2 separate regions of the Mus musculus genome follow, and region 2 is reported to be linked to region 1. Evidence: microRNA targets listed by miRTarBase, many of them from high-throughput screens and not tested one by one. Region 1 holds a microRNA gene; the other region holds the end of a gene's coding sequence.
What was found. Region 1 holds the annotated microRNA mmu-miR-3084-3p (UUCUGCCAGUCUCCUUCAGAC, at 7,817-7,837, shown strand). A microRNA usually pairs through its seed, bases 2 to 8, with sites in the 3' UTR of a target mRNA and lowers its output. Matches are read on the target gene's strand: a 7mer-m8 pairs with bases 2 to 8, a 7mer-A1 pairs with bases 2 to 7 and ends in A, and an 8mer does both.

Region 1 (15,735 bases):
GTTGACCCAGAGTGATGCTTAGGGGAACCACATCTTGTCAGAGGAGGGAGACAGCTTTAGACAGTGCAATGAGTTCAGTTCTCCTCGTTTGCCCCTGTGCTCATTCTTCTAGACAGCACCATCACTAACGGGGATGGTAATGCTTGGAAAAATCACATACTTTCCCTTGCTGTCAGCTTCCTTTTTCTGTATTGTAGCTCACTAATCAGGATGTGTGGTTTTGTGTTAAACCAGCTTCTGTCAAAAATAAGTTTGAATTTTTTCTTAGAAATTATTTTCTAAGAATAATAATTTTATATCCAGCACCAAGTAAATATATGATGATGAATGATTACCACCAGAGAACTTGTAATTTTTCTTGTTCTTTTCTTTTATAAAGATTACAAGTGAAATGTATTGTGACTTTTGGGAAATCACTTTTGCAAGTGATTTTTGGAGTTAATGTATTTTATTTGCTTTTCCTTGGGAGGGATTTATTTTTTGTGAACTATATGATAATCATATTCAGAAAGTGAGAAAAAAAAAAGTCCTGTGTGTCCTCAGCTATTGTGTCTAAATTGTTGCACAGTATTCATGCGTAAATTATTTTGGCATCAATAAGAACATTCTGTTTGATGAGGGTTAACAGTTTACTGTTTAGAAACAGGGAGAGGAGTAGGATGACCGCACATCTTGAATCGTCCTCATATTGCAGTTCCCATGAGAAGACTGAAGTATAGGTTTAGTTTGTGTGTGTTTAACAGCAGTTGCTGAAAATTAAGACAATTTGAAGAAATACTTTATTTACTGAATATTATTATACTATGTATTTTCAGGTGCAGTGGCTTCTATGTTTTGGGTTGATGCTGAGTTAGGGAGTGATATTTATCTTGATGGTAAGTTAAAACAATTTCTTTTAAAGTAGTATTTTATGGTTGGTTGCATTTTGTTTATATTGTAGTTTTAATTTCCATACCATTGTTCTTTTCCAATTGTTTAGTTTTTGATGAATCAAGTTTTGTTCATAGGGTTCTAAAGTCCTAGAAAGTGATAACACCAGATGGTTAGCTATTGATATCATCTCTGACTACGGACTTCCACCGAGGCTTTCCTTTCAAATTACTCTGCAGACTGCCTGTGTCCTCTGTTGCCATGGTGTGCTTAGTTAGTTAGCTAGAGCTTTGTAGGGAGTCAGGAAGACAATGGAAAGAATGATCTTTCATTCTCTGCTTTCATTTTTCCTTGAAAATAATTAAGAATGCTTCTAAACACACATACGCTACTTAACTCTTGTCAGTCTGTAAAAATTTATAAGCTTGATAGTACTTTCTTAGTGTGGCAACTATATTCACTTTCTCCTGTTGTCTCTCCTTTCTTTTTAAACCAATCATGTAGACTATAGGATAAGAATCTTTGAAGCTGTGTTTCGTTGAGAAGTACTATAGATAGCATGTAGCTTGTTGTGTTTCATAGACATCAGATTCTGCTGTTATTTTTAAAAACGATTTGACTTATATTCTGAAATTGCTGAGCTAATTGATCTTTTGAGAACTTAGATACTTGGTATGATGCTTTGTTTTTGTGAGCTAGGTGTATTAGCAGAGGGCAGGAATATAATATCCTAAGATGGCTCAGATTCTTTAAACAATTTATTTAGAAAAGCTTCACTTTGACTGTGAAAATAAAAACAACATGCCTTATATACTTTTTCTTACTTTACTATGTATTATGGAATTTGTCTTAGTTTGGGTTTGAAACACCAAAGAATTTTTTTTTGTTGACTTAATTTAAAATTTCTATTTTATAAATTTTCTAGTTTCTTAGCAACAGAGCTAACTTATTCCTGAGGTTGAGTTAAATTGCCACACTGATTAGAGAAAAAATATTTTATGGAATAACATTTGTGAACTGAAATATGTTTTAATTTTTCAAGTATAGTTGCATAATACTGATAACTTTAAAAAATGACTGATATGTTTATTTCTTTATAGGTATCATAACTGTTGTAGATTCAAAATATGGATTAAAAGTAAGTTGAGCAAATATAACTTGCTAATTGTCAAGGAGTAGGAATAAGGGGTTGGTTGTATTGTTTTCTGTTTCTTAAGAAAAATCTTTTTCAAGATGCACTTTGTATGTGCCATTATTATTATTATTATTATTATTATTATTGTGTGCTTTTAAACTTAGTATTTATTTTAGTCTGGGTGTTATTTTAGGTTGGGTGTTGTGATTAAAAATTGGAGTTACTATGGTATTTTATAAGGTTATATAGGATAAAATTTGGATACGTGTTATTCTCACTAGAATCCATTCCCATTATTGGATTTTATAGGAAAAAAAAAACCCAGCCTAATAAACTATATGAGATCTTAGTTTTTGTTATAAACTGTTAGGAAACACAAACTACATTAGTTTTTCTTAAAGTACTGATTTATTTAATTTTGAAGTATTCTGTGAATACTTTAGCTAACTGCTGATGTCTTTAAGGTTTGTCTCAATTTATAAAATGAACTAAGGAAAAAAAAAAAAAAAAAACAAATAAAATGAACTAAGATCTTAACAGCTTATTGCTGCTTAAAATAAACAGCATTTCCCAGGTTTTCAAGTGAACTGAGAAGTTTTTTAAGGAAACAAATGTTACAAAAGGCTTTGGAGAGTGAGCCTGCCTCTGTGCTGGCATCAGCTCTCCAGCCTGTCTGGGCATATGGACTGGGAACAAACTCGCAATTTCATACAGGCTGGGTATGATTGCATACACCTTTGTCTCAGAAATTGGGAGGTAGAGACAGGCAGATGTCAGTGAGTTAGAGGACAGCTTGATCCACGTAGTGAATTCTAGGCCTGCCAGTGCTGTATAGTAAGAACCTGTCTCAGAAAACGAGCAAAATTTCTTGGGAGTATAAACTTGGTGTTTAAACGTTAGTTTAATATTTTACCCCTTGATGTATCTAAATTTAATTTTTATGTTGGTCTTTCTCCCAAATCTTCAATAAAATTATGTTTTAGGAAAATTTACCAGGCCTGTCCAAATGGCTACAAGTCTATGTTACTGGCTCTTCCTACCCTCACTCTTAGTACCCTAATTTGACACATTTGAATCCTGTTTTAGAGTTTAGAATTTAAATTTATGAGTAGACTAGGGATAAAAGGAAGATTGCAAATATTATACTTTTGGCCAGAAAAATTCTAAAGGCTGTATGTGTGTGTGTGTGTGTGTGTGTTCGAAGGGTCTACTCTTTAGCTCATGAAGTCTTAAATTTGGTTTGGAATCCAGTCTGTCCTGAAACTCATATTCTTCCTTCTTAGATCTGTGTGCTGGGATTATAGCTGAGGGTCACCACACTTTGCTTAATGAGGTTTTGTTTTTTGTTTTTTTGTTTTTTTTGTGTTTTAAAGATAAGTTATAAGTCACCGTAATGACTGTTTTCAAAACTTTTTTTTTAAATGTAAAAAGAAAGCACCAGAAAATTTCAAATTCTTTGTTTTGAATATATTTTTAGGCATGTTTGAATTAATTTCCTCTCTAAGTTGACTCACAAATTTGGGGTACATACGATAGCAGCCAGAACATTTTATTTGCTTTTATTTTTATACATTTGACATGCTATATCCAAAGTCAAACTCTAGCAATTTATGCTTATAGAAATAATTTTATACCTATAGTTGGATATAGAGAGGAATTAAATAGAATCTTTTACTGGCATGATAAAGATCCCCCAAACAAAGCAATGTTCTGAATAATACAAATGTAGTATATGTTTAACCCCTTGCCACCTTGATAAAACCTCTTAAATTATTAAATCAATATACCTACACAAAACTGACATACTGTCAGGATAATGGAAACTTTAGATTTTCCAAGTCATATGTCAGATAAATAACTTTGCCTTTATATAAAGAATTTGCCAACTTGTCCAATTCCTCTGGTTGCAAAGCTTGACCTCAGTAGCTGCTTGTGATTCAAAGAATTCTGAGGCAGTACAAGTAATGACAGTTGGATAATGGGCAGCAATTTAAGGGTGTCATGCTTCACAGAGCCAGCCCATCACAAGTAAAGCTGAGAAATGGTACCCTGTGGCCAGCCAGCCAAATTGAAACTGAAGTGGTAATTGATATCATAGCCTATCACTCTAATGGGATTGTCACCCATTGATCTGAAATATTCATTTTTTAATCATGGCCAAAGAATTGGACAACTTAAAATGACAGCTCTCTATTCTCAAGGCTTGACATCTAGGCATTGACATTGTTCTTTTTAGTTCTACAAATGTGACAGCATTTAATGCAATAGAATCAATGAATGAAGTTTACACATAAAAGGTCAAGTAAGAGGTTTCTTTTTGAGCCTTCTGTTGTATTGCACAAGAGGTTGAAATAATTCAGTCAGAAAACAGTTTGGGTTGGAAAAGGCCAGGAAAATAAGTAGATTGACATTATGCAATAATTTTTTTTTCAAAGCTGAAACCACATTAGATCACTAGCCAGTCTTTGTAAAGAACAAAAACAAAACAAAACAAAACAAAACAAAACAAAACAAATACATGCTGCTATTTCTCTCCTTTTTCTTTGTCTGATGTCTGACATCTTTGACATTGGATTTGTTTCTACTGTGGTCAGCACAGTTCCTTCTCAGATAATGAAATTTTAGACCATTTTGATTTATTTTCTTTGGTCTTGCTTTTTTTCTTGATTCTGCAGGAAAGCACTCTGGGAGCTCTTCTTGAAATTGTGACTATAGTAATAATTTATTTTGAATCATTTCTTTGTGTCCCCCAGCTTTGTTGAGCCATAACTCACAAATAAAAATCGTATAGATTTAAGGCATACAATTTACTACCCTGATCTGTCTGTGTATATGTTGTGCAAACATTGTGGGACAATCAAGTGTTAACCTTGACCACCCACTGACATAGTTACTAGTTTTTGCTAGTTTAGAGGGTGTGATAACTGCAGATTCCTAGTATTCCCTCCCATAATCCTAATTATAGTTGCCCTGATGAATTAGCTTTCCAGAATAAGTTTCCAGAATTTATTCCTCCTGAGAAACTAGGACTTGTGTCCGTTGACCGTCACCTCACGTCTTTTGTTGTTACTGCTTTTGCTGTAGGTCACACTGTGAGTTTGAACGTTTAATTTTTGAATATGTTGGTTTGTTGGGTTCATTAGTGCCAAAATTATTATTGCCATTTTTTAAACCTAAACAAAAGCTACAGTCTAGCAGAGATGAGGACTTCTTTGGAGATTGGTATCTTTTTATAAAACTTTTAAATTGTATGCCTGTATATGTAGATTAGAACATCAGAATTTACATTTTTGTTCTTATTTTATAAATTGAAGTCCTGCTTCCAAATAACCTCTGAGTGGCAAGCAGAGTTTTGGTCTTTTTGCTAAGCCTGGCTTGGGAAGTAGGAATTTCGTAAGGAACCTGTAGTGCTGATACTCAGAAAATAAGTGTTAGTATACATTTATTACTTTTTATGTTTAGAAAGCTTTCATATGTGAATAGGCAAGGCATTTATCTCTTCTATGATTGTCACATGTATTTGTAATCAAGTTGTATACATTGGCAGACTTTTATTTTTGGAGGTTTTAAGTTATTTTAAGTATTTAATATTTCCTAAAGGTAATCAAGTCTTGGTCTGTGCCATTTAGCTCTAGATGAAATTTTATCTTGAATAAATGTCTCAAACCTTTGTTAAGTTGCTTTGTGAATCTGCCAAGTTTTTTTAAATTATATTTAAGAACAATTTTAAAGTCATTTTAATACCTTTTTTACATGTTACAAGGAACAGTCAGATACATCAATTGATATGCATGCAGATGAAGCTTCCAGTAGATCATCTTGAAAAATATTTTAGTTTTAAAGAATGTTGAAAGGGATCATGCAGAGGCAGATGGCATTTTTTTAGTAGATAGAATGCTCAGTGGAAAGAGATGTGTTGCCACATGTTGGATAGCTTTTTTTCAATAACAAAATTCCTGTGTTTATGTCAACAAATGGGACTGTTAACTACAAGTCATTCATGGACTGCTCCAGGGCCTGCTGATAGCTTTAGTCTCTAAATGCAGAGAATATCATGCTGAATGGATTTGTTAATAGTGAGAAACCATGAATAATTATGAAAGCATGAATGTTAAATTTGGTCTTTTTGGCATGGAGTAAGTTATTGATGATACATTACACTCTGTGTTCTGTGAGCTTTGTAACTGGGAAGTGAGTATGTGGTTGAATTTATAAAATTGTATTAAGGGGGCTGGTGAGATGGCTCAGTAGGTAAGAGCACCCAACTGCTCTTCCAAAGGTCCAGAGTTCAAATCCCAGCAACCACATGGTGGCTCATAACCATCCATAATGAGATCTGACGCCCTCTCTGGAGTGTCTGAAAACAGCTACAGTGTACTTACATATAATAAATAAATAAATCTTTAAAAAAAATTGTATTAAAAAAATGAAATGACTATGTCATGGTCATGACTTTGGTTTTGTCACACCTAAATAGTATTTGTTAAACTTTTAGAAGGAAAAAAAGTTGCCTCTATAATCTTAACCAAGTCTATTGAATAATCATCAGTGTGTCTTAAGTTCGAAGCTATGATAGTTACCTCCCCATGAATTGTACAACTAGAGTGATAAATATGATGGAACTTGTAGGTAATCCTACATATTCTCTTATGCAACAATTAAGTAATATTCTCTAGAAAACTGGTTGTACATGGCATAAAAAGCTTTTAAAAAGATCTTAAATAGTGTTCACTTTACTTCTATCAAGCGTGCTTTTAGTAAAAAATAGTCTGGTGGTAATATATAAAAGTACATATATATATGTATGTGTGTATGTGTGTGTATATATATATATATATATATATATATATATATATATATATATAACATATATATATATATATATAGTCATAATGCCTAAACGAGTTAAAATGTTGCAAAAATTAAATAAGTATATATAAAGGTCCATTAAAATGTGAAGTGTTAATATAATCTAGTTGTCTATCGCCCTTAGTAGCCAGATTTTTCTTGTGATCGGGAGTCTCTGTTGAGAGTCATGTGGTTGAAAACATGAATTTGCAAAAGACAACCTCTGGTAACCCTTTTATGCTAGCATAGATGACTTCAGGATATAACTACTATTGAGAGAGGGGTTGCTTTCAGAGGTGAAAAGGTGAATGGCCTTCTAAATCAATTCTGTGTAGCAACTAACTAAACCAAAAGTCTTCTGTAAATTTGTATTTAGGAATAGAACTTAAAGTCTCATTAAGACAAGATAGGTAGCTTTAAAATAAAATCCTTTGTGTTGATATTAGATTTTTGTATTGTATTATAGTAATTCTTTTAAATTTTGTTTTGTTCAGCATTTAACTGAAGAAAAACCTGATGGCCTTGTCAATGAAGCTACTAGGTATTCATATTTAAAGCTTATATTAATTACCAACCTGTTAGAAAATAGAAGTAACATAAAAACAAACGGAAAAAAAAGAAAGATAGTTAAGACAAATTTGTTTCCTTTTCCTTCCACACATTATTACTGTCTACCCCTCATGGACCCATGACTAGCATTTTATTTAAGCCATTTATATTGTGGGATAAAATGAATGGTAGACATAAGACTTACCTGATCTTTATGAATTTAGAAGAGTCTAACATTTAGAAGCGTTTTGTTCTCATGCCCCTTTGGAATTGAAGATAGTTAATTTGCTTCCTTAAAAACTGCCTCTTGCACATTTCATTGACCTGCTTTCTTTTGAAAATGTGAGCAGTGTTATTTCTTATGTGCTATACAAATAGTTGAAGGTTAATTAGCAGAGTAACTGAATATAGTAATTCTGCCAGTCTCCTTCAGACAAAAAGAATTAGAAATATTTGTATTGGGGTAAGTAGCAGGACTTTATCTATGAATGTGACCATTAGGTTCTTTCATTTATGAAATTGGGAATTCAGAACATAGATATGTATAATGTAGTCATACCTGGGCTTAAAACCCAAGTTCCAGTAGTCTTTTGCTGGGCTGAATTGTATGAACTTCAGTTTTTCCCTTTTTGAACAATGGGCATAATTTCTGCTTCCTATAGCTATCATGAAATTTTACAGAAAACGTGTGATTAAGTAGTAGCTGTTGTTATTAAACAAAACAAAACAAAAAAAACAACAAAAAAAAACTGCCTCACTTCCCACTGTTACTCAGTACAGAGGAACAATTACTGAAATACTTGTGACTTGGTACTGAAAACAGTGGTAAGTACTTTTAAGTTCTCTTTTGTTTTGTTCGTAGACTTACAAGTATTTAAAGTACTTTCCTTACCCTAGGTATATCTTCACTAATGGGCTGAAGGGTTACAAACCAAATATGCTGCTGGGCTTAGGAGTGAGGCCTCCTGAGATAGGAAAGAAAGAGTGAGGACAAATGATTTCTTGTTATCTTGAGGTTTATTGAATTCAATTTATTATTGAATTCTTCTGTTGTCCTTCCTAAATTTTTTGTTATTGTACAAATGTGATTTAAATTAAAATGAATTTAAGTATGATTGTAACTTTTTTCACCAAAATAGTTATTGTAGAAAATATACATAAAGCAAATAGAAAATATCAGAAAATGTAAAGTTCATAAAGAGTAAATTTAAAGATTTGGAGATGTGTGCATTCTGTTTTTAGCCACATAAGATTACTTACACAGAAGTAGGGTTGTGATATAAATTCTGTAGTTTTTTGTTTTTTCAATTTTGCTCATGTTTTTTAATTTTATTTCTAATCCTGTAAAAGAACAGATTAGAAAATAGTAGTCCAGTGGTTAGAATTTCCTGAATTTCCTGAAAGTAGTTTTTTAAAGCAAACTACTTAATGTTAAGTGAATTTTATATTTCTTTGAAAATTATGATAAATTTTATAACTTTTTTATCAACTAGACTGTCCTTATTCCCATCATAGTAGATACTAAATTTTATGCATTTCTTTAACATATATATACACACAGACAGACAGACAGACACACAGAGACACAGACACACACACTTGTGAACTGAAAATTATTCTCTGATCTAAAACTCTGGAGGCTTATCTTTATAGGATCAATAAATAATTCTTTTTGGATGAGCTTACAAAGTAATGTATGGAATTCTTCTGTAGAGTGAGTAGGTTGGGAGTAAACTGAACCCAAGCTAGTTATTAATTGAAATGTTGGCTTAAATATGTTTCTATGGTTTTGTGAGTTCTTAACATTTTTTTTCTGACACTTGTCCTTTGCTCTTTTAGGCAAGTTGCATTGGCAGACATGATTCTCATCAATAAAACAGACTTGGTTTCAGAAGAGGAGCTAAACAACTTAAGAACAACTATCAGGTACAGTGCACTTGACTATTGTAGTTTGAAAGCCAGAAGAAAGAATATTTGATGTTTTTACCATTAAGAGATGATAAATTTGGAGAAGCTAGGTCTGTTTACTGAAGTGCAATAGTTTGTACGTACTGAAATGTCACATGACCCCCATTATTATATATAGCTCTTACATGCCAATTAAAAATAAATCTATTTTCAGTTTTAGTGAACAGTGAAAATTATAAGTATGTTAAATGCCTTCAAATATAAATTTTAACATGTAAAATATTTTAAACCATGGGTATTGCTCTATAGGAATATAAGATAAGGTCTAAGGTTGACTTGCTTCAAGGATCATAAAGGAATCATATATATAGTTCTTGGCTAATTGACTGATAAATAAATAGAAATGTATAAAATAATTCACCAGCTCTTGCAAAACATAATTCAGATTTTTTTGGCTGATATTCTGGGTCCACTGACTCTCCTTATGAGTTTCCATTTCCTGTCTGTCCTTTGACTCTTTCCTAAGGGCAAGCCTCCTTACCTCTCTAAGACAGTTAATTTACTTCTTCATCTATGTGTCTTACCAGCTCCCAACTACTATTTTCTCACTTACCAGTTTCTGAGTCTATCCCTCCTTTATAACATATAATATTATGTATTTTCATCTGCAGATCCTATTCTCCCTTTTCTTCCCATTCCTTAATGAAATCTTGCTCATATTGTGCCAGTTCCCTGTAAACCCTTCTTGATTTTAATGGTTTCCTTAGTTATCAACTGTCCTTTGTCTTTGCTTTATGTCTTCATTGCCTATGTATAAGGGTAATCAAAATAGACTAATATGAATGATACTATGTTATTAATAAATATCAAACAGTCATCTTGCTGGCTGTTTTGGAGATTCTCATTCCTTTTGAAGCCAAAGGTGAACTTTTCAAATGAGAGTAAAATCCAAAGATTGTGTTTTGAGTTATTTTGTAATACTTAAACTAGGCAATGCCGTATATTTCAGTAGCTTTTCTTATTGGTCACTTTTAGTCACAGTAGAGCTTTTTATAATGAATTAGTATTACCACATTTAATGTCATTTCTATTGGCCTCACATGTTGACTGTAGTACCACTAATTTATATAGTACATGGTATAAAACTGAATCAAAAATGCATAACTATTAAGTCATTTCTAATGATTATGATTGCAAGAGAAAGAAATTCATACTTTCCCTCTATATTTTTTCTTGTTTTAATAATAGTATCCTTAGATTTTGCTACAAAAAGTACTTTCTCATATGGAAGGCAGATAATACTGCATAATGTTTAGGAATATGGGAGTTGAAGTCTGCTTTGGTTGTAATTCTTGATCTGTTTCTTCCTGTTCTGAGGAGGTTTATTTAGGCTTCTTGAATATCATCTGCAAAACAAGAATAAAACCTATCTTACACGTTTACTTTAAGTACTCATGAGACTTGTGAAATTGTTGGTGAGCTTTGCACTCCCTGACAGTGGGTGCTTCCTGAGCTCTTACAATGGAGATTTGTTTCTCTGAATTGAAAATTAGTACTCTTGTTAGTAGTAGTTAGTAGTTAGTTAGCAGTTAGTTAGTCGTCCAAAAATGAGACTTACCTCAGAATTATTTTATACAGAAAGAACCCATTAGAACATATTGAACCATCAGCATATATTTTGGACATGTGTCTGTAAAGAAAAGAGAATTAATAAGACAAAAACATATAGGTGTTAAAGATGTTTAAAGGAATTAAAGTAATTTTTTTGTGGCATACAAAGGGAAACTTTTTTTTTTTTTGGTGTTTTGTGTTCTCCATTTCTACAATGAATATGTATAGAATTTGGCTGTCTTGTAAAAGTTTTGACTATACAAGAACATTAAGAATCCCTGCTTCTTATGGAACCCCCCCTTTTTTTTGGCAATGCTGGGGTGAAACAGTGGTTTTGTGCATGCTAATTAAGCCTGTACCACTGAGCCATAGCCTTAGCCTCTTCCTAAAGTGAAGGATCTCCTTCCTTCCTTCCTTCCTTCCTTCCTTCCTTCCTTCCTTCCTTCCTTTCTTCTTTTTTTTTTTTTTTTGTAGTAACAAGTTTTCTTGAATGCACATAGATTGTGCCAGATTTGTGGTTTGAAGAGAAAGAATTCTAAGCCATTAACAAAAAAAAAGCAAAACAAAAACAAACAAACAAAAAACCAGAACAAAGCAAAAGGTGGGGTGGGGGAGAGAAAGAAAAGATGTTTACTTTTTGTTTTAGGAATAATTTTTGTATGCTTTTAAAAAAATCACCACTTTTTAAATCTCTTTCTTTTGCTTTTTATTTCAGATCAATAAATGGACTGGGAAAAGTTTTAGAAACTCAGAGATCAAGGTACTTTTTAAAGTTGCTATTAGAAATGGAGGTGTATGTCAGTTGTGAGATTGTTGCCTACTATGCACAAGGCCCTGAATTTGACTGTAGTACTGCATAAACTATAGAATGCACATGCCTGTAATCTCAGCACTTGGATATAGAGGCAGAGGCAGAGGCAGAAGTTCAAGTTCATCCTTGTTTATTTAGAAAGTTCAAGGACAGCCTGGCCTACATGCCATTGTGGGGAGGGAGGAAGAAAAGGAAAAAAATCTATTACTAATACCAACAACAAATAAATTAGCCTTTAGTTAAGAATAGACATTAGAAATTAGAAAGTACAGGCGTTGGTGATGCACACCTTTAATCCCAGCACCTGGGAGGCAGAGGCAGGTGGATCTCTGAGTTAAAGCCCAGCCTAGTCTACAGAGCGAGTTTCAGGGTAGCCAGAAACCCTGTCTCAGAAAATAAGTAACTTAACTGTGCTATAACAAGGATATAGACACATTAAAGTAATACCTAAATATTGTCTGAATGCTCTTTACAAATTAGTTTGCCATACTTAGTTCCTTTGTTAGCAACTATACAACTATGATACATAAATCTGGAAAAGCATGTTAATGTAAGGCCTTTAAATAGGTTTTTAATACTTTAAAATCTTATTTTTGCAAAAAAAAAACTGTAATAAGAATACATGAAATTATTATGTTTAAATTATTAATGCATCCCTTTATATATTTTACAGCTTTTATAGCTTTCTCTTACCTGTAGTTCTGTTCATAAAGATGTGCATAATCTTCTAAAATATTTGTACTCTCTTGAAAAAACAACAACAAACCCTCTGTGAACTGTTCTTTTGTAGATTGAACTGGTTTTGTTGTTGTTATTGTTGAATGGTGATGATTTCAGAAAACTTCAGTGTAGGGATATTTTGTTAAGTTCATGTTGGGGACAAGAATGGCTTAGTAGCCAATAGACTCAGACTCACAGCTGGCAGCTTAGTACCACCCAGCCTCTAGCTGAAAGAGTTTTCCATTGTCAAATGCAGAGAGGTCTTAGCTGAGTGGGCTGTCTGCAATGGCAAAGATTAGAGGTGCTGACAGACTGCCAGAAGTGTGAAGCGGTGACAGCAGCAGCTGCTCTGAGTGTGGATGCAGCTGGGAATGAATTTGGTATGTGTTTGCAGGAGCCACAGATGCCTTTAGTGTGAGCCTGCTACAGGCACTATATAAGTAGATGTACTCCCAGATTTTCCAGTTCCATTGTAGAAACCTGATAAGTCTAACACATACTCCAAGCCATTGCTCAGCCTTCATTCCTATCACAGTCTACTGTTTTCTCCTTGATTTTCTTTCTTTTATAAATGACAGACAACTCCATAGACTTAAATCAGCTTTTGAGAATCATATCTATCAGTAACTGTGGTTCTGTTGTGACAGCATGTATTTAGTTTGTATTTTCTTTGTTTCCACTTTGAAATTATCCATGTTATAACTAAAGGTTCCTCTTGATTAGCTTATATATTGATTTTGTTTATTTGACCATTTCCAACATTTGCTCTCTTACAGAAATACTAATCATACTTGTTGCTTAAGGATTAAGGGTGCAAATGAAAAAAATCTTTATCTTCTCTTTCTTTCTTTTTTTTTAAACATTGTTTTCTTTTTAAGATTTATTTATTTATTATATGTAAGTACACTGCAGCTGTCTTCAGACACACCAGAACAGGGAGTCAGATCTCCTTATGGATGGTTGTGAGCCACCATGTGATTGCTGGGACTTCCATGTGGTTGCTGGGACTTGAACTCAGGACCTTCAGAAGAGCAGTCGGGTGCTCTTATCTGCTGAGCCATCTCACCAGTCCTTATCTTCTCTTTCTTAAGTATCTGCTGTTGGCAGTGAATCTGAGTCTCTGAACTCATGTCCTTGCTGGGAACTTGGGAGTTGAATTAGAGACCTTTTCCATGAAGATCAGATATCTGTAGTAGTCTTATTATTGGATCATGAATCTTATGTAATTTCCCAAATTCCTAGAGACATACAAACAACAACTTGGGCCTCTCAGTTTAGAAACAAGATTTATTTCTTAGCAGAATAATTGGAATCATTATTTTTAACATTTTAATCCCATTAGTATTTTAAAGTTGGCAAAGTGAACGTGCTATAAGCAAATATAAGCAAACTTTGTAAAATAGTAAGAATCATGTGAGGTGTTATCTTACTGGCAAGGTTTAATTGGATTGGCAAGCAAATACAATTTCTATGGAACTTTGTAGACATTGGAAGTAGGAGGGAAAGTTAGAAGGTGTGGGGAATTGCAGGCTTGTCTCCAGTTGGGCTGAGGTCTGAACCCGAAGTCATAATTCACCTACATGACACGGTAGGCGTTCCCTCATGCTCCTGCAACTCTGGCTCCTGCCTAAGTTACCGCGCCCCCCACAGCCCCCACAAGAGAAGCATGGCTAGAAGTCATGTAGGCAATGGCCCAAGCTTCTGACCTTCAGGCTAAACTCCTCCCCAGTTACCTAGCAACAGTAAAGACCATAAAAAGGGCTGTTCAGCCCCACCTTGCCCTCTGACTTGTCTCTCTCACTCCTTTGTTCTCCCTCCTCTCACTTCTCCTCTTTCCTTTGTCTTCTCTCCTCTCCTTTCTCCCTCTTACTCTTTCTCTCTGGCCTTCTCTCTCTCTCTCTCTCTCCCCCTCTCTCTTTCCCCCTGCATTTCTATAATAAAGCTCTAAAACCATAGAATGTCTCTGCTCATCAAGGCCCACTGCGCTTGGAGGATGGGACAGGCTTTCTCCTAATGAGCCACCCATTAGAAGGCCTTTCTGTGCTCCAGTCAAGATCTGCTGCACTCACTCTTGCAGGTGTTGGGAACCTCTCTTCCCTCATCCTTCTCTCCTATAACCCTGGTGGCTTTAGCAAAGTAGCTCCAGGGTTCCCAGGTAGGGCTGCCCCTTGGCCACCCCCTGAAGAGTGGGTCAGAGGCTTGAATGTCCACCCAGGACTGAGTGGAAAGTGTATGGCAGCTCTCCCATGCCTGACAGACCAGAGCATAGGTAAAACTCTGGTGGGGCATGGGTTTCCCCTTCCCCAGGGCATCCGTCAAGAAGGCATGCATTCTTATTTAAGGACTTCTTAAGATTTTAAAGATTCAGGCCGGGCTTGGTGGTGCACGCCTTTAATCCCAGCACTTGGGAGGCAGAGGCCAGCCTGGTCTACAGAGTGAGTTCCAGGACAGCCAGGACTATACAGAGAAACTCTGTCTCAAAAAACAAACAAACAAACAAACAAAGGTTTTTAAAGATTCAAGAAAATTGAACAGAGGAAAATAAAAATACAGTTGGTCAATAATAATTTAACAACCATTGCAGTTTTCCACTAGTTCTAGGCATTTCAGGGTGGGATCAGGAATTAAGCAACAGATAAGACATAAGTACTTTTAAGACACTGGAGTGATCAATCATTTGGGGGAAAACTGAGAAGTGAACAAGCAAAAAGCAACACCTTAGATAGTATTAATATATCACAATAGAAAGAAAAATTGCTCAGCATTCTGTAAGAATAAAAAGCAGAGGCATGACCATTTGATCTTTCCTGATGAAGTCTGGAAAACTTAACTAAAAAAATGATCGTTGATTAGTCTTGAACAGTGAAGGGAAAAATTTCCCAGATGGCCTGGAGTGCAGGTGCTTTCCCAGGATAAGTGTGCAAGTGAAGAAAATCTTCACTTAATATTTCAGAGATAAGCAGGGCGTGGTGGAGCTCGCCTTTAATCCCAGCACTTGGGAGGCAGAGGCAGGCGGATTTCTGAGTTCGAGGCCAGCCTGGTCTACACAGTGAGTTCCAGGACAGCCAGGGCTACACAGAGAAACCCTGCCTCAAAAAAACAAAACAAAACAAAACAAAAAATACAGAGATAATATTTTAGAATGACTAGGACACATGGCTGCATTTGGCTGAGAGAAAAGGTGTGTGAGGACCATGAATGCCACAATATACAGGATTTTCTCTGTAGGCAACAAGGAGTTACTGAAAGATTTAAAAACAGTGAGAGAATTAAAGGGTGAACT
Region 2 (14,619 bases), not on the chromosome of region 1:
ATACTAGCTACCTTCACTGTAACAGAAGGGAAGAAAAAAATTCCTGTTGCTGGCTGCAGAGTTCAAAAGGGACAATTAGAAAGACATAAGAAGTTTAAATTAATCCGAAACGGCCAAGTTATTTGGAAGGGTAAGCAATATCAAAATCTATTTCTAAATTGTACAGCCCCTCTCTCTGTGTAACCATCCAAGACCTATGCTCTCCCTGCTCCACCCCTAGTTTAAGTCTATTTTTGCTCCCAACATTTAAGCTCTTTGTTGTTTTGTCCCCATAACGGAGGACTGAACCCAAGACCCCACACAATGCACACTAGTTAAGACTTGCCTGCCATCTTTGGACTTTTTTTCTGGGTACAACCTCAAAAATAAAGACTTAGACTATCTTTAAAATGGAAGATTTCAGATGAAATCAATCTCCCAGAATTCACTGGAAGGGTAGAAATGGAGCACAGCAGGTAAAGACATTTGCCTCATAAGCCCTACAGCTTGTGTTTAATATCCCATGAAGGTAGTAACCAAATTGTCCTGACCTCTACAACTACCATGGAACATGGATCTTACACAATATATACAACTTTAGTAGGTAACTTGCTATTTGTTGAATATACTCAGCATGACTTTTTTCTTTTAAGGATCATTAACCTCTCTGAAACACCATAAAGATGACATTTCAGTTATAAAAACTGGTATGGACTGTGGTCTTAGTTTAGATGAAGAAAAAGTCGAATTCAAACCGGGAGATCAAGTCATTTGTTATGAAGAAAATAAAGTTCCAACTAAGACTTCCTGGGATCCAGGATTTTAAAAGCACATTAAAAATGGTAAATGGGAAGCCGGGTGTGGTGGTGCACGCCTTTAATCCCAGCACTTGGGTGGCAGAGGCAGGCGGATTTCTGAGTTCGAGGCCAGCCTGGTCTACAAAGTGAGTTCCAGGACAGCCAGAGCTATACAGAGAAACCCTGTCTCGGAAAAACCAAAAAAATAAAAAAAAAAAAAAAAGGTAAATGGGCTGGAGAGATGGCTCACTGACTGCTCTTCTGGAGGTCCTGAGTTCAAATCCCAGCCACCACATGGTGGCTCACAACCATCCGTAATGAGATCTGACACTCTTCTGGAGTGTCTGAAGACAGCTACAGTGTACTTATATATAATAAATAATTCTTTTAAAAAAATGGTAAATATTTTCCCTTCATTTAAATACAGGGTCCTGAAATTAACTATGTACCACCATGCCTAGCTTGTATCTCTCATATAGGGGGAAAATTACCAATCAACACTGAAAACATTCAACAGCTTATGCACATACCAATACAGTATTATTCCCATATATTCCAAGCAGCTTTGACTTGGCACCTTCAACTTATTTGTGAGACATACTGTCCTGTAGCTTCTACTTCCAAGTCTACAGGATATTCCACAACCCCTTAAAAAGAATTGACCTTAGTGCCTGCCATCATGCCATGCCATGATGCCAAGTTTTATATTGGCTTTGACAGCTGCAGCTCATACAACATCACACAGCCAAAGAAACATTCTTTAAATGTACAATAAAGCACAATACTAAGTACGAGTTCCTTCTTTTTATTAACGCATACACAACTACTTGTCTTCTGGTTTGTTGAAGCAGTAAGTCAGACAACACTTGCCACAGTAATGCCTGTCAAAGTGGCTTCCCATGAAAACTCCAGCACCACATTCATCAGAAGGACACTCTCGACGAAGTCGGCTAATTTTGCCATTTTCATCCACCTGCAAAACAAGAATTTACTGTAAGATGATTTCACAAAACATATTCTGAAACCTGATTTAAGTGACTCAAGCTATTGATCTCACAGTACCAATTTTTAGTGGTTTAAGTCAGTTCTCCAAATTAAAAATCCTGTTTCCAATTCTATAAACTCACTTAAATATCAAAGGGGAGTTCACTTTCAACTCCAAAAGTACTTCCAAAAGTTAGTTGCTCAGATCTTATTCCAAGTGGAACCCATGTTTTGCTAACACCACACTTACCTTATAGTATTTCAGCACAGCCAACTTAACCTTCTTCCTCTTATGCTTGTTCTTCTTGGGAGTGGTGTAAGACTTCTTCTTCCTTTTCTTAGCACCACCCCGAAGTCTCAACACCAGATGAAGGGTGGACTCCTGTTAGTGGAAGATGAAACAGCAGCACTGTAGCATCAACAAGTCTAACTCCAGCCTGTCAAAAAGTTGGGTGGTGTTGGGCCTGTCACTCCAGCACTAGGAATTTTAAGGAGGCTCAGGAATCCAGTTCAAGTTGGCCCTGAGCTACAGGAGACTGCTCTCTACAAAAAGGGTCAACCAACCATCGCATATTTTAAAATCATGGAACAGCTACAGTGCTCAGCAAGTGTTAGTGGATTCAATATCATCCCTTTTTCTGCATGTTTTCCCTCAAACAAACCTTTTGAATGTTGTAGTCAGACAAAGTCCGGCCATCTTCCAGCTGCTTACCAGCAAAGATCAGCCTCTGCTGATCAGGAGGAATTCCTATTAGAGGAAAAAATACTGGGCTTAATAGAACAAGGTACATTCCCCATTGTTGTGAATCAAATGATTGCTAACAGTGGTCACAGACTTAGATGCAACTTTTTCCAAGAGTAAAAGCCCTGGAACTTTCTCTGTAACCAGGCTGCCTCTACCTCCTTAGTGTTGAGATTAAAGTGTGGACTGGGCCATTGCCCAGCCTGAGCATTTTATCGTCTTTGTGACTCAGTAAACAGTTCTAGATTAACTTTTAAAAGATTTGTCCTGCAGAGTTTCCAGTTAATCAGATAGCCTGACACTAATGTCAGGAATATTTTACTTTCAAAAGCATCTAAATTTATTAATCTGTTTTCTACCTTAAGAACAAACGTGTCTAGGTCACACAAGCCAGTCATTTTTCTAGTGACAAACTTTACTTGCCTTCCTTATCCTGGATCTTGGCCTTTACATTTTCTATAGTGTCCGAGGGTTCAACCTGCCAAGTTTTGATATATGTAGTTAATATACGGTTACATAGTAAGTCATTAACTGCTAGCTTTATACAAAACGAGCAAGGAGGAGGTGAGCTAAAGGTAATCAATTAAGATGACACCGCGTGCAAACTACCCAGAGTGCTACAATCCAAATTAGTCCCCATACCAGGGCGAGCGACGGCGGGGGAAGCACAGGAACGCGTCTGCCCGGAGAAAAGCGTCTCCCATCACCTACCCTACATTTCGCCACTCGGGATAAAGCAGGCTAAACCGTACCACACCGAAAACCAAACGTTGTTTTTGCTAAGCACCATAATCTCAGCTCAAAGCCAAGTTTCACAACTCAAAACTCAGAAACCCGCCCTCAAACACTAAGGGCCTCAGTCAGGCCTTGGCTTCCTCAACGGCAAGGTGGCCCGTACCTCGAGCGTGATGGTTTTCCCCGTAAGGGTCTTCACAAAGATCTGCATCGTGGCGGCGGCTCCACCTGCATTCGAAAAGAGACGGATTAGATCCGACGACACCCGTGAGAGCGACGCGTAGCGCCACTAGCCAGAGCGCGGCCACAGAGCATACACTCACCCACGATGGCGGATCGGAAAGGAAGATCCGAGCGTGGCCGACGGGGTCTCCTGGCCGAAGGACCCGCCCCTTAGGCGGCCACACACGTGCCTGCGCGCTGCAGCGGAATCGCGGCTGTCTAACGCAGTGCCAGATTTGCTCGTTCGCTCGGTTTCTTTACGCTCTTTTCTCGGTTTACCTCAGAATGGCCTCGAAATGATGTGCTCAACTAAAAAAAATGCCTCAAAAGGCTTTCTTATACAGCCGATGCGATTAAGAGAGGCTTTCCTTTAAAGGGGGCTTGTGAAACATAAGAGAGAGGTAAAACAAGTCTATCTGGGAATTGTAGTTTTACACTGCTTTCTTCTTGTTAGAACTACTTGTCCCAGGATGCATTTCCACACTTCCCGGATACCTGATTACACTGTCTAAGCTGTGGAGTGAGGGTTAGGAGAGAGTCAGGTGAGGACTCAGGGGATGAGGCACTATGATTTGCGCGTGGGTGGGGACTCTCTGGAAATGCCCCGGAGGGAAGGCTTAAGGGCTAGAAAGGCATTTGGGGGCTGAAGGTGTCTGTCACACCGTAGTGAGCTAGCCACATCTAAGGTATAGTCGAAGTCTTTCTAAGTGCAGGTTTCTGCCCCTCCCGGTAGTCCCTTCCGCTACCCTTCATCCGATCGGAAGAAGCTTTTGAGCGTCACGCGCCTCCCTAGTATGAAACGGTTAAATGTATTGGAATTTTCATCTTTTCACGTTTTAAAAAACATACGATAAGAAAATCTGCAGAATGTTTAGTTTTCGACTATAAGTTTAAATGTGGAGCGTGTCCATCCTGGAGAAAATAGGAGCATGTGCCCTCGGGGAAACTTGAAGCTGTTAAAAGCTGGTGCCTTCTCTCAGTCCCTTCTCCACCTCACAAACCCAGTGCCCTTTCTAATGCACCCTCTCAATGTCTTTTCACCCTATCCGTAAGCGTAGGCGTGCTCCGTTTTCTTACAACGAGGATCCGTAACTCCCTAATAATCTCTGTTTGCTCTTTCCTCATTTTAATATACTAGCTCTGCTGCCTCCAAATTACACATTTTGAAAAGTAAAAATGTAGGGCTAGGAGATGACACAGTAGCTAATATTCGATATGCAGAACCCTGGGTTGGAACTCAAGCACCCACTTTTTAAAAAGGTTGGTGTGCTTGGTGGAGTCTGTGACATGGTAGGCCAGCAGAGACAGGAGACTCCCTGGACCTCATTGGCCAGCAGGTTCAATGAGAGATGGGGGCCGACGACCCTACACCCACACATGACATACATATTTCTTAAAATAAGATGGGGCTTCCAGATGGCTCCATCAGTAAAGAAAATTTACATCTGCTCTAGATCTGATCAACCTTGAGATTCAATTGGTGGAGAAAACCAACTCTAGCAAGTTGCCCTCAGACTTTCACAGCGCTCCCTACCCCCGAACTAACGAAGTGCAATAAAAATTTAAAAATAAAAGGTAGACTGATTAAGAAGACCCACACACACACTCAATATAACGTGATCCTCCTGTCTCCACACATGTACCCACACGAATGTGAACATAAACAGAAAAGCAAAAAGTGATGGTGTTATTCCACATCATTCAAATATTTTACTTTGGGGTTAAAGGTTATCTGAGCATGTGTGAGGCCCTAGAATTGATATCCAACACTACAGAGAATAAAATGTGTTGCTTCAAGTAGGAACAAGGGCATAACATAAAAAGATAGCTTTGTCAGAATAAAAGCCCCTAAAAGGATATTAATAGGACACCAAAGGAGGAACTTGGGTTTCTGCCACTACTACTCCGATGTGTGCCCCAGTGACTGTGCCCTTCCCCTGTCTTTGACTATTTGCAATTACATCATCTGTGTCTTACCAAATTTTAAGCTCCAAGGAGCCAGGACCTTATTTTACTTATTGCTGAATCTCTAGCAGTAAAATATTAAATAGACATCCAATAGTGATTGAACTAATGAGTAAAACAAATTGATTTTATATTTGAGAACACTTTAGGGCAGTGATATGGCTCCAAGAGCTAATGCACTTGCTGCCAAGACTGCTGATCCAGTTGCTGGAACCTCCATGGAGGAGGAAGAGGAACGGGCTTCCATAAATTGTCCTCTGACCTCTATGTGTGTACCGTGACAAGCATGTGCCCACACACAGACACTAAGTGATTGTTTTTGTAAAATTGGCACTTTAAGCATACATTGCTTATGGCTTTGCTCAGACTACTTTATGTCCTCTTGTAAATTATGTCCTCTTGACTTTTTGTTATCCAACTCATCAAAATTATTGTGGTGTCTCCCTTATTTTTTTTTTATTTTTAGTTTATTTATTTATTTGAGACAGGACCGTACTATGTAGTCTTGGCTAGCCAGGATCTCACTATGTAGACCAACTTGGCCTTGAACCCACAGACGATCAGCTGTTTCCCTCTCAAGTGATGGGATTAAAGACATGCACCACTATGGAGACTGGTGTCCTGATTCATGTCTGTGGTATTTGAAGCTCAATACATTAGTTTAGATAACTGGTTATATAGCTATATTGCCAATATATCATAAAGTTAACTGAAACACTTATTCAACACATCATTATTTATAGTAGTAAAAGTTCAATAACTAATTGGGATGATTAAATAATTAATGGAATCTCATGCCATGAAAAACTATGCAATACTATCATTAGAGCTCTTTAGAATAAATAAATAAACATTGTTTTTTGACACAGAATCTAACTGTGTAGCCCTAGCTGGTCTGGATTTTACTATGTAGACCAAATTGGCCTTGAACTCATAAAGATCCAACTGTTTCTGCCTCCCAAGTGCTAAGATTAAAGATGTGTCCCAAAAAAAATTTAAAAAAAAGGTGTGTCCCACCACAGCAGTAGCTTAAAATTTTTCTTTTTTGATAGCTTCATATATTTAGTGAGTTTTAGTCTTTTTCACTATCACCCTGTCTCATCCTAACTCCTCCTACTGAAACCCTTCTTCCCAACAAGGCCCTTTCTGCCTGTGTATGTGTGTGTGTGAGTGTGTATGTCTCTGTGTGTGTGCATGGGCTTTGCCTGTGCTTATGTCTGGTGTATCACTTGCATGCCTGGTGCCAGTGGAAGCCAGAAGAAACCATCAGTTTGCTGGAACTGAAGTTACAGATGGTTGTAAGTCACTATGTAGGTGCTGGAATCAAATCCAGATTCAATAAAAAATTAACCAGTGCTTTTAACTGGGACCATCTCTCCAGCCCTAGAAGTCAAGTTTTGTTGTTATTGGAATTGATCTGTTTATTTAAGCATGTGGTGTGTTTTTGTCATATGGGAAGTGAAGGCAGGAAGGTGAGTTATTCAAGGTCATTCTCAGCTACTTAGGAAGTTAGGGTTGCCACAAAGCCTGTCTTTAAACAACAATTTAAAACAATTCAAAACTCAACTAACTATGGTCATTGTTTGATAGATCAATGTCACAGGCACTGAGGTAGAGAAGTATTTGACCTTGTTTGTATCAGCAAGAAGCATACACAGTCATTCCTCACATGAAAAAAGAAACCTTTTGGGAGAGCAAAGTCTCAGCTACTTTCCATTTCACACACCTTAAAATAATTAAAATGTGATATAAAATTTTAAACAGAGGGCTGGAGTATTTCTCAGTGGTACATAGCTTACTTACCATGTTCTAGAGACTGATTTTATCCCCAGTGTTCTGAAATACATGGTGGGTTTGTTTTTAAGTGTTGAATTGAAACCTAAGAAGCTATCATTTAAGTGATACACATGAGAGGAGTCAGCTTGGTTTCCAAAGGAAAGGGGGTTTTCTATGCTTGATCAGCATTCTGGCAGGGTTTCTTGTGTGGAGGTCAGAGGACAGCTTTGTGGAGTTCGGTTTTTCTTTTCCCACCTTTGTTTTGGTCTCTAACTCAGGTCTTCAGGCTTTTGCCCGCAAGTACATTATCTGTTGTGCCCTAAAGGAGGAGTTCTTTGGTTTTTTGTTTTGTTTGTTTGTTTGTTTGTTTGGTTTGGTTTGTTTTTCAAGATGGGGGTTTTTCTGGCTGTCCTGGAACTCACTCTGTAGACCAGGCTAGCCTCGAACTCAGAAATCCTCCTGCCTCTGCCTCCCAGGTGCTGAGATTAAAGGCATGTGCCACCACTGCCCAACAGGGAGGAGTTCTTTTTTTTTTTTCCAATTTGCCAAGCTGTGACTGTTTATTAACTGACCAGATTACAAAAATACCATGGCTGACACCTTAGTTCATCCGTCTAATAAGCCTGTTTATCTGGTCTTCCCTGTTGCCAGCATCTCCGTCTTCTACAAAGTGAGTTATCTTTTTCTTCATTCCACCTCGTGGGGAAGATAATTTGAAGGGCCACAGGAAGTTATTTGCTTTCTTGAAGCATTTCCCAATTGTATAGATCGCATGAATTAGATCCTCCATGCAGATGATGCCAAACTTACCAGGAGATAGCGCAATCAAGGAATTATCTTTTTTTTTTTTTTTTTTTTTTTTCCGAGACAGGGTTTCTCTGTATAGCCCTGGCTGTCTGGGCTGTCCTGGAACTCACTTTGTAGACCAGGCTGGCCTTGAACTCAAAAATCTGCCTGCCTCTGCCTCCCAAGTGCTGGAATCAAAGGCGTGCACCACCACTGCCCGGCTAGGAATTATCTTTCAAGGCAATCCGCTTCTTGTTGATTTTTGCCGTAGCCTCGCTTGTAGATGAGTTCGTTTATTGACTTCAGGTTAGGGTTGCCTCATGCAATATACGATTCCACAATCCCCAGCATGTTAATTGAAGCCTTTTTGAGCTTAACAAAGGTGCCATTGAAGAGCTGTCAAAGACAAAGAAGCTGCAATACCTTGCGGACCTTTGAGCTTACTCCATTGATACCTCGGATTCTGATGACAAAGGCCAGTTTTGGTTCTCTGGGCACATAGAAGTTCCCAGATTCCTTGCCATCCTGGCCATCCGAATCTCAGTCCAGTACATCTATCTGCCTGTACTCCTTGTGATAGTGCTGTGCCTTCTCGTAGATGAGCTTCCTCCTTGCCTTTCGAAGTGTCTTCAGGGCAAACTTCTTCCTCAGGCGCTTCACCTTCAACTCTGTGAAATTCCTTCGCTTTTTCTTACGGGTTTCTGGCACAGTGGCAACCTTCTTTTTCTTCTCTGGAACAGCCTCCGTGGTTCCAGCCAGAAAAGGAGAGAGAGAGAGAGAGAGAGAGAGAGAGAGAGAGAGAGAGAGAGAGAGAGAGAGAGAGAGAGGGAGGGAGAGGGAGAGCAGGGAGGAGTTCTTTTTTTTTAAGATTTATTTATTATTATATCTAAGTACACTGTAGCTGTCTTCAGATGCACCAGAAGAGGGCATCAGATCTCATTACGGATGGTTGTTAGCCACCATGTGGTTGCTGGGATTTGAACTCAGGACCTTCGGAAGAGCAGTAGGTGCTCTTAACCACTGAGCCATCTCTCCAGCCCCAGGGAGGAGTTCTTAATTGACATTTCATTTGTATTCTGTAGTCTAGCATGAATGGACATTTTAAGTCATTGACTGGAATATTTATCTCAATAACAGATCTCTTAATTTTCCTTTTGACACATACGTATTTTTAAATTGACTTTTGACTTAAAAGGTTTACACCTACACATTAACTGACTATCATGTTTTCTTTCAGGCTCACTAAAGCTTTGGCTTTATGGCAAAAGAAGGTCAAGGTTTAATTTTTCTCCGGTGAACAAGCTTACAGATTAAGATTTATGTCCGTCCAAGAAGTAAACACACATGCAGTTCTCCCTCCTATCGTTAGTAGAAATGACAAGGAGTTTTTGGAAAGCATACAAAGATACATAACTACAGAAACCAAAAGAGTGGGTTGCAAAGAGGAAGGACCTGCTGATGAATATTACACCATATACCGAAACGTTTTCGACAAGGTACCATGATGCTCTTGAGTAGGGCATGTTTCAAGAGGCTCTTTGTTACCTAGCTTAACTACCACCTCAGTAATGCTACTTGCCTGCCTGGCCACTGCTTTCTGAATGCTAGTTTGGGGAAATTCACCCATTTTTGTTAAACCAGGATGAAGAGGGAAAGCTCAAGTGCAGAATTTACATTTCCTGATGACTAGTTAGGCTAGTTAGAGTCAATTATTTTAGTTTAGCAAGTAGTATTTTTTCCCCCAATAACTGGTTTGTACCCTCTGGTAATCATTTCTAACGTTTCAAGTGAAGGTGCTAATTTGCTAGAATTTGCATTATGAACAAGAACTAGTATTTTATGTTCTGGGTTTGTTTGTGGTATCAGTAAAATCTTGGTTTAGATATGATATGGCATGGTAAATTGAGACCTCTTGAGCCAAGTGCTATGCCACATGCCAGTCATCCCAGCTGGTAGGGAGGCTGAAGATGGGGAATCCTACACAGCCAGGAGTTGGCAGCCACCATGGACAACATTATGACATAAAATCAGTGAATGAATCAATGAATGGAATTTCATCTAAACAGTTTGAGCCCTTTTAGAGTGCTAGATATGGTGGTATTCCTTTGCAGCTTCCACTTTAATGCTTTTCTGTATATTCTAAATGGTATCCATCGGTGTTCTGCTGAGACCTGGTTCTTGTAGCACACTGGCATGATCATTGTTCATGGAGTTACTGTAGTCGTATTGACTACCCATTCATGTACCTGAGTTGGGTTATTAGAGCACACAACAGGAACACGTGAGCTAAAAGATGAACATGTATCAGATACTTAGTGTGGAAAGCTTTTCATTATGAAAGGGTCCTCTTTGAGGTAGACGGGGTGTGGCTATGGCAAAAAAATTAAAAAGAGCACTGTATTCCTCAGCTGCCTTTTCCTGGTACTTGCTGCAGATTAATGACCTCTCTAGATCACTTGTGATAAAAATGGATGTCTTCCTGGATAACTTTCTTTCGATACTATTTAGCTAAACAAACAAACAAACAAAACCACTTGTAGGGGATAACACACCCAAGAAAAGTAGCAGAGAAAAACAAGCATAATTTCAGATTTCAGAGAAAATTTTGGATCGATTACTTTTATTCCCTATACATCATCAATATTTAAAAAACAAAGTTTTTGTTTTGTTTCATAACCTATTTAAATTTTTTGATAATTTTTGTGTAGACCTAGTATTATATCAGTGATGGATATACAAGATTAAGAAAAAACAGCCCTAATAAAGGGGCATGTGCTGTGGAGCCACCTCCACCACTCCCTGCTCCTCCCCTGCTTCATGGAAAGTAGCCTTTCTGAGCGCATTTAGGTTTTTTTGTTAACCTTTCTTTCTTTTTTCTTCTCCACCCCCCCCCCAAGACAGGGTTTCTCTGTGTAGCCCTGGCTGTCCTGGAACTTACTTTGTAGACCAGGCTAGCCTCGAACTCAGAAATCCGCCTGCCTCTGCCTCCCGAGTGCTAAAGGCGTGCGCCACCACCGCCAGGCTTTGTTAACTTTTCTACTGTTCTTTTTCTCTGTTATACTTCCTGAAAGTTGCTTTGCTTACATATTATTGGAAACTATGACTATGTAGCCATGTAAACTGTTTTCACAGTTGTTTGACATGTTGAGAATAGAGATACAATTAGGAGCTCTGATCTGATTTTCCTAGTGGAGGTGAATGAGTTCAGATTACAGTATCTCCGTGGGGGATAGAGAGATTGCTCAGTGGTTAACTAGTGCGTAAAGTGCTCTTCCAGAAGACCTGAGTTAGATTCTTAGTACCCACATCAGGTAGGTCATAACTACGAGTAACTCCAGCTCTAGGAGATCTGAAACCTCTGATTTCTGCATGTACCTACACTCACATGCACACACCTGCACACAGACACACATAGAAATAATTAAAAATAGTATAAAAATAATGTAAAAATTAAGTCAAGAGACTAGATTTCAAAGGAGTAAGAGATATATAATTAAAAGACCTCCAGTTGAGAAATGTAAACCTAGTATTATATCAGTTCATGTCCCATGTGTGAGTTCATACCAAGCATAAGAAAGCCCTTTTCATATCTAGGATCACAGTGTCTACATAGTGACCCATGGAGAGCATATGCTTGGTGGTTATTGTTTTTAGTGCCTACTCATGTTGAGTTTGTGTAAGATGTTTATATGTCTAATTAATAATTATGTTTCACCTAAAAATAGCCTCCTTAAAAGGCTTTTCATCACCATATTTTCTGTTAAAAAAGTTCAGTGCCACAGACAGAAAAATCATATTTCAGGTAATAGACTATGTCAGTGCATACAAGTCCATTCTTACTGCAATCAAAAAAGAATATGACGCCTTTATTGAGACAATAAAGAAAGGCCGAAGAACTGCTTTTTATCTTCATGGAAAACTTAAAGTTTTGGCAAAAGAGCCTACAGCATTGGTGTATCACCAGAGAAGAGCAATCCAACTCGAAGCAAAGTGAGTGTGTCAATAACTAACTAGAAAAGTGTCATGCTACTGGGTGGTAATCAGCGAGTCTTTTATAAAAAAAAAAAAAAAAATCACTGTTTTCTTTATGTTACTATTTTGAGATAGGGTGTCACATTTTAGTCAGAGCTAGCTGAATTCACCAGGCTGGTCTTGCTCAAGGCCTTCAGCCTTCAAGTTACAGGTTACAAGATTATTCCATGCCTGCCTTTAATTAAAATGTTATTTTAAGCTATATTTTATATTCCCTTCTACCAACTATTCTATATTTCAAGTTAAACTTAATTTTGCTTGAGAATTTGTATGATGCCTCTTGATATTATGAAGTTACATCATGGTGTCATAAAAGGAAGAAAGTTATTTCATGCATGGAAGATTTGTCAATACAAGTTCATGCTTCCCACTTGAATGACAGCACTTAATCTCCTGATTCCAGTAGTAAGAAACCCACCAAGGAGAACAAAATCCTCCTTGAAAACGATTTTTAAAAAATTAGATTTCACTATGTAGCTCAGACTTAGAACAATCCTCCTGTCTCAGCCTGCCAAATGCTCGTTTCTTGGCTACAGTGTGGTCTAATAATACTACTTTGAATTTCTGACCTCCAGAATGGTGAGAAGATAAATGTTACTTTAAGTCACCAAATGTGTAATAATTGTTGCAATAGCCCCCAGCAAAATGACAGTTTCTTGTTTGTTTGTTTGTTTAAAGCTTCTTTAAGCCTAGTGTGGTGGCTCATACCTGTAATCCAGCACTTGGGAGGCTGAAGGAGTAAGATAACAAATTCAAAGCCAAATTTAGCTATATAAGGAGACCCTTCCAAAAGAAAAAAGAAAAAGAAAAGAAAAAAGGAAAACTAAAAATACATTTTCAGTTGTAACTGAATAGATGGTGTTTTTGGCTAGATAACATTTATTGATTTGAAATGGGGTTTGCATTATGCTTTTTTTTTTTTTTGGTTTTGTGTTTTTTTGGGTTTTTTTTTTTGTTTTTATTTTGTTTTTGTTTTTTTGTTTGTTTGTTTGTTTTGTTTTTTGAGACAGAGTTTCTCTGTATAGCCCTGGCTGTTCTGGAACTCACTTTGTAGACCAGGCTGGTCTCGAACTCAGAAATCTGCCTGCCTCTGCCTTCCAAGTGCTGGGATTAAAGGCGTGCGCCACCACCACCCAGCTTGTATTATGCTTTTATTGGCGATCTGAGAGGGAATTTTTCCTTATTTGTGGTGTGTCACCTTCTGAGTATGGATTTTTAAACTTCTAGTTCATAATGGCTCAAATTATAATTAGTCAAATAAAACAAAAATCTAGTCTTTTTTTTTAAATATTGTGAATCAAGAATTAGATTGGTTGTGACAAGCATATGAAAACATTTCTGTTTTGTTTTTAAGAATGAGGATTATTGAAAATAATTCCACAGCAATTCAATTGCAAATAGATCAGATGAAGCAGCTGAGAATGGAGTATGACAAGAAAGAAGTAAAGCTCTGTGCTCCCTCCAGACAGCTTTGGAAACCTATCCCAGGTGCAGTATCGTGTGTACAGTTCTATACCAGAGACATTCCCCAGTGTGTCCCGTTGGCTGTCTCTTACACAGCTAGTATAAGATGCTCATATATGAACAGTCAGTTGTACAAGCAACTTTAGGCAGGGTACTGTCCAGGACAGAGCAAACTTCAAGCAATCCTGAAGAATGTGAAGACTTACAATCTGCCCAGGTCACATGGTGTGCAGTCAGAAGCTCTCACATCAATGTTGGCATCATTTGAGAACTATTAGAAGTGAAGATCTGTGGAGTTGGTAAGATTAGCAATTAAAGTGATTACTGTGCAAACTCAAGGTTCAAACCCCTCTCCCATGCAAAAGCCAGTGCCTGCTCTGTAATCCAGTTCTGGGGTGGACAGAGACTGGTAGAAACAAGTGGACACACACACACATTTGTGGATCTTATCTCAGACTTATAATGTCAGAAACTTGGTGGTTGAGTCCAGTGGGTGACATCTGAAGTTCTGATTATTCTGATTGAGAGCCACTGGTGCACTAACAACTCTAGTGTATTAAGTTTGCTGAAAGACATTTGTGGTGATGTCTGAGTTTACTGGTTTCATATCCTAGCTTCATGTAGAACTTGGAGAGATTACTTTGATGAACAGATTATGACTCAAGACTAAGGATTGTAACTCCAGTACTTAAAGCAGTTTTTTGCACAGTATTTATCCAGAGACAGAACCAGTACGTGAAAACTTTAGAAAGACATATTTCACCTATATTGAAGAAGCTGTGTTTTTATCAACCCAGGTTTTCAAATTCTCTGGCATTTGGTAATAGTAGGGTTACTTTCAAATGCAAAATCGTGACTAACAAACTCCAAATAATAAATGTGAATAAACACAGAATACATGGCACATTGGTTTACTACCAACAAGAGTCATGGGGAAAGAATGCTTAAAATCTAAAAGGGTTAATCCTGAGGATAGGGAAATTCTGGAGAGGGTAGATTTGGATGTGTGTCTTGTTTTTTAATGCTTTATTTTTTTTTTATTATTTTTTGTGTCTGTGGGTGTTTTGTTTTGAATGTATGTCTTTGTACCACATGCATGCCCAGTGCCCATAGAGGTTAGAAGGTATCATATATCCT

Region 2: miRTarBase lists Mtif2 as a target of mmu-miR-3084-3p. Seed matches in the 3' UTR shown: 7mer-m8 at 874-880.

What each region holds. Positions count from the first base shown.
Region 1 is chr19:24,934,342-24,950,076 of GRCm38, reverse strand. It overlaps Mir3084-1 (microRNA 3084-1), which reads left to right and starts at 7,774; the gene lies at 7,774-7,842. It overlaps Cbwd1 (COBW domain containing 1), which reads left to right. Exons shown (of 15, transcript NM_146097.3): 5 at 816-875; 6 at 1,971-2,008; 7 at 7,348-7,394; 8 at 9,242-9,328; 9 at 11,637-11,681.
Region 2 is chr11:29,544,281-29,558,899 of GRCm38, forward strand. It overlaps Mtif2 (mitochondrial translational initiation factor 2), which reads left to right. Exons shown (of 14, transcript NM_133767.3): 13 at 1-130; 14 at 633-1,172. The coding sequence ends at 805. Rps27a (ribosomal protein S27A) reads right to left here and starts at 3,760. Exons shown (of 6, transcript NM_024277.2): 1 at 3,561-3,760; 2 at 3,401-3,465; 3 at 2,926-2,980; 4 at 2,423-2,508; 5 at 2,011-2,142; 6 at 1,562-1,749. The coding sequence starts at 3,448. The coding sequence ends at 1,600. Clhc1 (clathrin heavy chain linker domain containing 1) reads left to right here and starts at 3,670. Exons shown (of 12, transcript NM_028504.1): 1 at 3,670-3,860; 2 at 9,224-9,482; 3 at 11,756-11,976; 4 at 13,373-13,506. The coding sequence starts at 9,306. It also overlaps the pseudogene Gm12090.